2 linked regions of the Xenopus tropicalis genome follow. The protein of the gene in region 1 interacts with the protein of each later gene in a biochemical or structural test. Links are inferred from orthologs where the notes say so. Each region holds a gene or a part of one and is shown on either strand. Other genes may lie near its edges. The genes, in order: pbx1 and hoxb1.

Evidence for each region.
Region 2: the proteins of pbx1 (region 1) and hoxb1 are reported together in a solved structure, tested with the Homo sapiens proteins (2 studies listed by BioGRID and IntAct, with this or other methods). The link is inferred for Xenopus tropicalis from reciprocal best matches to the Homo sapiens genes PBX1 and HOXB1.

What each region holds. Positions count from the first base shown.
Region 1 is NC_030680.2:108,212,301-108,216,887, forward strand, and holds the start of pbx1 (pre-B-cell leukemia transcription factor 1), read right to left. Parts: upstream 3,083-4,587; 5' UTR 2,820-3,082; coding exon 2,629-2,819; intron 1-2,628. UniProt on the Homo sapiens protein: Transcription factor which binds the DNA sequence 5'-TGATTGAT-3' as part of a heterodimer with HOX proteins such as HOXA1, HOXA5, HOXB7 and HOXB8. Binds to the DNA sequence 5'-TGATTGAC-3' in complex with a nuclear factor which is not a class I HOX protein.
Region 2 is NC_030686.2:11,996,217-12,000,582, reverse strand, and holds the start of hoxb1 (homeobox protein Hox-B1), read left to right. Parts: upstream 1-1,382; 5' UTR 1,383-1,451; coding exon 1,452-2,043; intron 2,044-3,136; coding exon 3,137-3,459; 3' UTR 3,460-4,162; intron 4,163-4,366. UniProt on the Homo sapiens protein: Sequence-specific transcription factor which is part of a developmental regulatory system that provides cells with specific positional identities on the anterior-posterior axis. Acts on the anterior body structures.

The sequences.
Region 1 (4,587 bases):
CGGAATACAGGAAGATTGTAAACTATGGCTTGCATACATTTGTCACTTTATGTATAGACGTCTTTTACTGGGACATGACCTTCCAGCTGTTGCAGAACTACATCTCCCAGAATCCACATGCTGTTGTGGGTAAGTGGGAGGTGTAGTGCCTGAAGTTTACATTATATGTGTACTTCTGCCTGTCCTGCAGCAAGTACAGTATACAAAGGAATTATAATTGTATTAATGTGGGGCTTGGGTTCCAACAGGCAAACCAGATTTTATTACTACTATATTTTGCCTGTCAGATAAGGAAAACGAATTGCTTGAAAAAAATAAAATATATAAAAACATAAATTAGAAAAACATGTAAATACAAAAAAACTCTCAGAATATAGACAAATATGGATTTATTTTATATTTAAACAGCAAGATGAATACAATAAAACTAAAATACCTAGAGCTAAAATTGCCACAGTGGAAGATAGGCATCTAAACGACACACTGGGGCCTGACCAGCCTTTGTCAGTCCACAGTGCATACTATAGATAATAAGCAAAGATCGCTGTTTGGCTACAATGGACTGAAGCAGAGTGATCCACACTTACGTTTATTCATAGTAGCTTTGCAAATCTCTATACGCTGACAAAGGAACGGCTGGGCATGACATGTCCAATTAACAGATTCTGAAAGGTCTGCTCTCTTGCTTTGTATAAGTCAAGCAAAAATACACTTCTTACTACTAAGTACATTTTGTTACATACTTCAACCTTTTGTAATTTCAATGTTGCGAGAGAATTTCAATTGTATATTTTAGTCTGCAAGTTTTCAGCACATATATATTTTTTTTTTTTTACACATATTAAATATGTATATATTTATAAATGGTATATGTGCCTTGAAATTATATACATGCAATGTGCACATGTACAGGGGAAATATTTCTCTGCGACAGCAACACATTTTAGATAAATGCCATCCAAAATCCCTTTAATCCAATTGAAGGAGTGCTGTAATTTCAAATTTAGTTCCGCCAACTGCACGTTTCTCTTGAAAAGCCTGCTTTTTTTCTATTTACCCGATTGGGGTTAACATGTTGAATTTATACCATAGGAGAAAGGTGTTGTGGGATTCCTCCTTCTTTAAATATTTAGAAATGCTGAACAAAGGCAAAAGTAGAAGGAAACCAAAAGAAACATTCATAAATTCTCAATGCACAACAGAGAATTCACTGCAAACCCTCTACATTGATTCTCATTACTAAGGAAATATTGTTTAGCTATATAAGAAAGTGTCAAACAATTAACTTACAAAGCTTATTTAATGCTGTCATTCAACCCTATTAGATGGAGAGTGTAGTCCATGCAATAAGTAATGTATTTAAATCTCTGATTTACAAAACAAAGGTAATTATATTGCTTGGATTTCCCATGTACTAAAAATCTTCCTTGGCAGAAAAATCCATGTTTACTCCCATTCACAGAACCTCTGTTCTTATTTAATTAACCAACATCATAAAAAGTTTATATAATGAAGCTATGCTTTTAATGATTATGTGTAGAGATGTATATTAAAATATGTTATATACAAAAACTCTGCCCGTCCCCATAAAATCAGTGTGTTTTGTAAATGAGTGTGCCCTGGACATGAGTTCTGTACATGAGGTTATTATCCCACCTATGACATATAAAAGTCCCTCTCTGTATTATAGAATGCAGTATATAGTTATATGGCGTGAATCACAATGAACAACTGTAAACAGATCTTTAGAATGCAGGAACTGCCAGTACAACGTATTTTGAGGCCCAGAGGATAACTCAACATCTCTAGTGCTTCCCTGACAGATGGAGAACTTCTTCCTGCCCGTTTCTTTTTCCTCTAAGGAATGAATATACCATACATATAGGACAGGGATGTTCAACCTGCAGCCCCCCTGCTGCTCCCAGAATCCTTTTGACAGCTGATGTGAAAGTTATAACAGAGCAACAACTGGAGGGTCACAAGCTAAACATCAAAGATCTAGATAGAAACTGTTGATAAATAGATTTTTTTTTGCATAATTTGGTGTTTTTCAAACCCCACTGGGTCAGTACCAGTTTAAAAATGTTGCCGTAAAAATGGAAAAGTGAAAGACAATGCAACCCTCCTGCTTAGGGGTAACAGTTTAGCGCACACATGTACATGGTATATACTGTACACACTTACTGTCGTGCAAATGGATTGCACACAGTAAACCTTATTACTTATACAGCACTAAGAATAAAAAGTATATAAACCAAAGCACCATGTACAGAGGTAGATTGTCAGCTCTATGGTGCACGTTGTCTGATACACGTTCACATATAACACAAGGTTGATAAACAGTAGCAGTTACTTTGCTAATGGGGGAAAAGTGGTTTGCTGGTCCAACCTCATACACACATCCATTCTAAAAATCAGGCAAGTCCACCCTGAGGCCCTGGAGCAATTAACTACAGCTCCCATCATCCCTTGACAGCCGGATGCTGTGAGTTGTTGCTCAGTTAGAAGTGGAGGGCCTCAGGCTGGACATGACAAGTATAAGCTCACAAATAGTATCCTGATGCCCACAGGGTCCCAGCCTAAAGCTGCTAAAAGAGAGAAAGAAGCACTTTGCAAGATCCAGCTCACCTGGCCTGTGCCTCATCCAGACTCTGGTCAGTGATGGTCATGATCTGCTGTAATATATCCCCAATGTCCTGCTTCCTGCCCCCCTCCCCTTCGTTGGCTCCTGTGCCATCCTGCATGTGTTGGGACAGACTGGGGTGTCCCGCCATCCCCACCCCGGGGTGGCTGTGCATCAACCTGGGCTGATCATCCATTTCCAGGAGCAAGCCCCGCTCTGCAGCACCCTGTGCCTGTGTTGTGCAGCGCACAGGGAACTCTTATTGTTCTTCTCTCTCCTGCCTTTGTTGTGGCTCCCTCCTGTTAATCCCAGGGCGCCAGGAATCCGTCCTAGTCAAGAAGAAAAGGTACAGTATCCAGGCACGGCGGTTCCGCGGGAGGGTGGGGTCTGTACCGGGCCAGGGAAGTTCTACACAGCTCGGTGTCCTGCTTTTGTTTGGGCTCAGACTCTGCTTTCCTCCCTCCCCTCCTGTGTCTATCCCTCTCTTCTCCAGAGCTGGCACACAGCGCGGAATGGAGACTTAGCCCCCCCTTCCGTCACGCCGATTGGCGTACTGGGAGGTAATGTACCGCCCCCCTTGGCTTTGGATTGGTAGTTTGGCAGGTCACTCCCCTCCCCCTTAGCTTTTCTCTTGTCAATCAACAAGGTTCAGAGGTGGGGAATGTGGAAGAGAGAAAAGAAGAGCAGAAAGAAAAGAGAAGGCAGTGGCCCCGGGGTCTTAAAGCGCTAGCGCAGGCTGGGAGAGGTGTATGGGTATCTTAGAAGGAGTAATTCCTCTGGACAAAGCCAGGCTTTAGTGGGTCTGCCCGGGTGGATTTCAGTGCTTTTGCCCCCTACTTGCTTTCGTTTTACCTTAACCCTTGTGCTTCATGAATGCCTGCCAACGCAATAAAATGCAGAGGGCCCCATTCATTGAGGGGCCCTACGTAATAGTTGAGTCGGTGTTACAGACTCTAAATCGGCCTGTTTGCTATTGTACAACTTAGTATTGCCGAGAACCCGAGCGCGATTGATTGGGAATAAAACGGTCTGGTGTTCACTTGGGTCTTCGCTTGTTTTGGTGTAAGTGAAAGCTCTTCGGTCCCCACACTGTGGGAGTGTCCCCCCAGCGGGCCCAGACTAAAGTACAAGTTAAAAATAAAGGCAACATATAAGTAGAAATATAAGTACATTTAGAACTGTTTATAAAAAGACACAACCATAGTTATATTTGAACTAAACATAGATATGAGTGAGTCTTGTTTGACTAAGCAAGAAAATCATGTATAAAAATCATCAGTGTCTTATGTTTAAACTATTGGTGTCTGACTTAATAACTGGTAGGTAATGTCCCTTTAACCAGTAACCGGGGTAGAACAATAGAAAAGATTCTAGAATATAACAATAGAACAGATTCAGTAGCTGATTTGGGCTCAGGGGTATAGAGTGCTGCACCTTATTATCATCCTGAAAGTTCATAAGCTAGAAGGGCCCAGTAATTTGTTTATTCACAATAATTCCCTTAGTAGATGTGCCCTGAAATGTTAGGTCCTTATGCAGTGATAAAATCTTGCACAGCATAGTTACTTATATTTCAGTTGAGTGAATGTGCAGTGTTAGCAAGAGAGTGTCAGGTTGGCCACAACTGTCATTGCCATGTTGAAGAAACCAGACATAGCAACAGGTAAGTGGTTACTGTGTGACACTGCTCTAGGTCAGGGGAAGTTGATAGGTTATCACTGGCTAGAAAGTGTTATTTAGGGTATTAAAAGCACATAAATTCTTAGATAAATATACAAAGATATGCCAAAAGAATGTTAACAAGTATAACTGAAGTCCCAGAATTCATTGTAGTTGCAAAAGAAGGGTGCACTGGTTGGACAGAATAACAATTGTAGAATTATTATATACATACAGACACAGGGATATACTATCAGTGACAATAACAGTTCCATAAGCAGCAGATACCATCATTTCCTAAAATG
Region 2 (4,366 bases), on another chromosome or scaffold:
ACTGAGCGAACGAATGTCAAACAATAAAGCCAAACTTGAGAGCCTGCGAGTACTTACATATGGAAACAATTTAAATACCACATCGAGCTTTAACTGCGTGCAATATTAAATTAACGAAATACTTATTAAGAAATCCTTAATCCAGTCGCTGTCATGGAAAGTGGGGGGATCTTGATTGCCCCGCTAACTCTGAAGCACAGTTTGTTCGTTAATGTCCTGTCTTGTAATAAATGTGAAATAATGCCCCACTATTAAAAAAGCGTGGAACAGTCGTTTACCCTAGTTACAATAATTTGACATCATAAATACAGTCGTACAGAAGTTAAACATGCCGCTCCTCTGGGATCCATAAGACTGGCTTGAACAAATTGTTCATTAAAAGAGATTTAGATGAAAGACTTGGGCTGAGGAAGAATCTTGTATGAACTCTTGTTCCACATCCCCAGACCAGCGCAGTTAGTACATATTCTGACAAGTTTTACAAATGAGGGTGGGCGTCATATTGTTACTTGCCCTTGTCTCCCGTGTTGTAACAAGTAAATAAATGTTGCTTACCTAACCGATTTCTATTAACACGAAGAGTGTGTGGGAGAGACTCATTTCCCAATTCTCTCTTTCCAACAAAGACATTACAGAAAGGGAGACACCTCACTACCATGAGCCCAGTGGGCTATAAAATGCCCCCACATTAATCAAAGGGGAACGGAAAAACTACATCACTTTGACAAATACCCATGTTCAGATCGAAACGTCGTTTTGCGGCCATTGCGTTCCCTAAGAGCAAAGCCTATCCATCTAACGGAGACACTCACTTTCAGTACTTATTGTTCAAAGGGAATGGTTTATTCGTTCGTTTATTCGTTCAAAAAACTATTACAAATAATTCCAAACCAAATAAATAATTGGAATTTTTTTTTTTTTGTATTTATTTTTGTTTTAAACTGATACAAACATTTTCCAGAATGGAAATGGATGGAGGATGTTCTGCAAACTCTGCCAGATGGAGCTTTGCTTTTTTTTTAAAAAAAAAAAACCTTTAGATTAAACAGGGTTTTCATCTAATTTGCCACATCTCTTTCTTTTTGCTAGAGGTCTTTTTACACTTAAAAAAAAAAAAAGTCCTGAATAATTCCGAGTTTCCCTTTGGAGGCTCAGAAGAAAGATTCTGATGCTAACTTGTCGTTATCAGATTGATGGGCCGGGTTTGATTGAAGTCTCTTTGTCATGCAAATGTCACTGGGCCATGATGGATGGGGCCCAGATATCTGACAAGCTTCAGGAGGTCCTCAGCCATTGGTCCCTGGAGAATCACGTGTGCTGTGGGTGAGAGACAGGGGGTTTGAAGCCTGGCAAGGCATGGATGGAAGTTTACACATTTGACATAGTACCTAAAGGTTGTAGGGCAGAAGGAATCCCCCGAAAGCAGGTTGACCCTCCTCCATCACTGGCAGATGGACAATACCAGAATGAGCTCCTTTCTGGACTATGCAATTTGTAACCGTGGGACGAGCGCCTACTCACCCAGAGGATACCATCACTTTGAGCAAGGGACGCCACCCTTCCCTGCCTGCCCGGGTACCAATGACATTTATAATGGGGATGGAAGGTTTGTGGTAGGAGGGGGGAATGGTGTCCCAAGCCATCTCCACCAGCAGAACCCCAGTTACCCTCCCCAGCCCAGCGCTGGGGTCCCCTATACCAACTCTCTAACAAGTTACACCCCACAGACTTGCAACCAGGCTTATGGGCACCAGGCTTATGCCAGCCCAGACGCAGATGGCATCTATTTCCAGCAGACAGCCTACTGCTCCAACACTGGGGCCAACTCCAACTCTTATTCTGATGGCTATTGTGGAGCAGTACCGGGGCCTGCCCAGTACCAACAGCACCCTTATGGGCAGGAGCACCAGGGACTGCTACAAGCCTACCACAACCCTCCTTCTATGCTACACGAAGAGAAGGAGCCCTCCTGCCCTTCAGAGCAAGCCCTACCCAACCACACGTTTGACTGGATGAAAGTAAAGCGAAATCCACCCAAGACAAGTGAGTACCAGCAAGAGCCATTGCTTCTCAGTGCGGCTATGAGTTATTATGGGCCTCCGCTTCACCTTATATCCATATACGTGGGCGAGAGCTATTACTGTATCATCAATCTTCTGTCATAGCCAGGGCTCATCAAGCTCCCACCCCTGCAATAAATCCTCTCATCATATACTACTCGCTCATCCATAAATGTACCACTGAGTCCTCAGAGTATGGGTGTATATATATATATACTAATGATAAACTAATATCTCTATATATACCACTGAACAGTGGGGCCTTGAGTCCTCAGAGTCTGTGTGTATATATATATATATATTCCAATGATAAACTAATATCTCTATATATACCACTGAACGGTGGGCCCTTGAGTCCTCAGAGTCTGTGTGTGTATATATATATATATATATATATATATATATTCCAATGATAAACTAATATCTCTATATACTATAGTGCATCTAATGCATACATTCAGAATGTGTGCAAAACAAATAATATCCAGAATATTTTGTTTTAATGGGGGGCTTAGAGATATGGGGTTCAGTTATAGTTACGACACTATCACTCTCTCCATCCAGCTAATAAAATTGTCCAATAATAATCCTAGGGCACAAAGGTGAGGATAGAAGCGAATATTTAGTCTTATAATACATCAGATTTGTAACATTGCCTTGTCATTTGATACAAAGTATAACAAAGCTCGTTTTCTCAACAAATATAGTTACGAATAACCAAGTGTCTCTAACTGAACTCGAATCCTGCTAAATATTCTTTAACGAATGGCCGTTTATATGCATGATTAGAGTTGTTTTTTTGTCAGTATTGTATTTTGATTTTTACTTGGCAAAAGTCTGGCGCAATTTCAATTTACTAGCCACAAAAAAGGAGTTGGAAAGCTAATGGCGTTTTAGGGTGAGGGGGGAAAGGAAATTGAGTAGTGTAGCCATGAAATGAATGGATTCCTGGGGTGCTCATGTTATCAGGGCTACTTACTGTATGTGTTTGCTCACCCCCTAACCTTCCCATAAACGGTTGTTAAAGTATTTCTATACGTTCTAATGAAAGTGTTCCCCTCTGCTTTGTGTCCCAGCAGCCAAACCGGTGGACTTTGGGCTCAGTACCCAACAGAACACCATCAGAACCAATTTCACGACCAAGCAGCTGACTGAGCTGGAGAAGGAGTTCCATTTTAACAAGTACTTGACTAGGGCCAGGAGAGTGGAGATCGCCGCCACCCTGGAACTGAACGAAACCCAAGTAAAAATATGGTTCCAGAACCGGAGAATGAAACAGAAGAAACGAGAAAGAGAAGGACTGGCCCCAAGCGCCATTAAGGGCTCCATGAAAGAGAATGGGGAGATGTCAGACCTGTCCAGTTCAACCTCCCCAGATGCCTCTCCCAACTCAGTGTAGCACAAGCAATGGACAGTAAGCAGAGCGCACATAGATGTTGTATATATTTTATTTTGTTCTACAAATACCTTCCTATTTATATACAAGATTAGTTTACAGGATCGTCATTGTATCCATGGAACACAAGGAAAGTGCCCGTTCCTCTCAGGGAACCTCAGATTTCAGGGGACACGCACTTGGAGAACTATCCATAAGCTCCTGTCTGATCCAAATGTGGCCTATTTATCCTTATTCCCATTGTGGGGGGGTGGGGGATGGGGGGGGTATAGTTCCTTCTGTTTGTTCTCTGGAATAGAAGCTTAGCCATTGGCATATTTTTATTTGATTGTAATTATATCATTAATGTTATAAGGGCTGATAATGTTTGATTCCAGTTATGGAACAAGATAGAATAAGAGGAAAATGTTATTTTAAAAATATTTTTTAAAATATCCCATTTTTGCACCTACACTATACTGGAGTGGTTGGCTATACTTTGTGCGCTATACAGGGTGACTTTAGGGGACTGCAATTGTTCTGACACACTATGGTCACAGCAGTCCTATAAAAGGAAAAAAGCAGCTATAAAACACTGCAAATGCATCTCTTGCTGTTCAAGAGACTGTGGTTGTAAGGCAGGAAGTATATTAGGGTGAAATGGTGCCTATAGTAGCAGTGGGGGGATAATAGCCTCTGGGAAGGGACTGGGGCTGTGGGATAGCAGGTATAGTAGGGAGAGATGGTGCCTATAGTAGCAGTGGGGGGATAATAGCCTCTGGGAAGGGACTGGGGCTGTGGGATAGCAGGTATAGTAGGGAGAGATGGTGCCTATAGTAGCAGTGGGGAGATAATAGCCTCTGGGAAGGGACTGGGGCTGTGGGATAGCAGGTATAGTAGGGAGAGATGGTGCCTATAGTAGCAGTGGGGG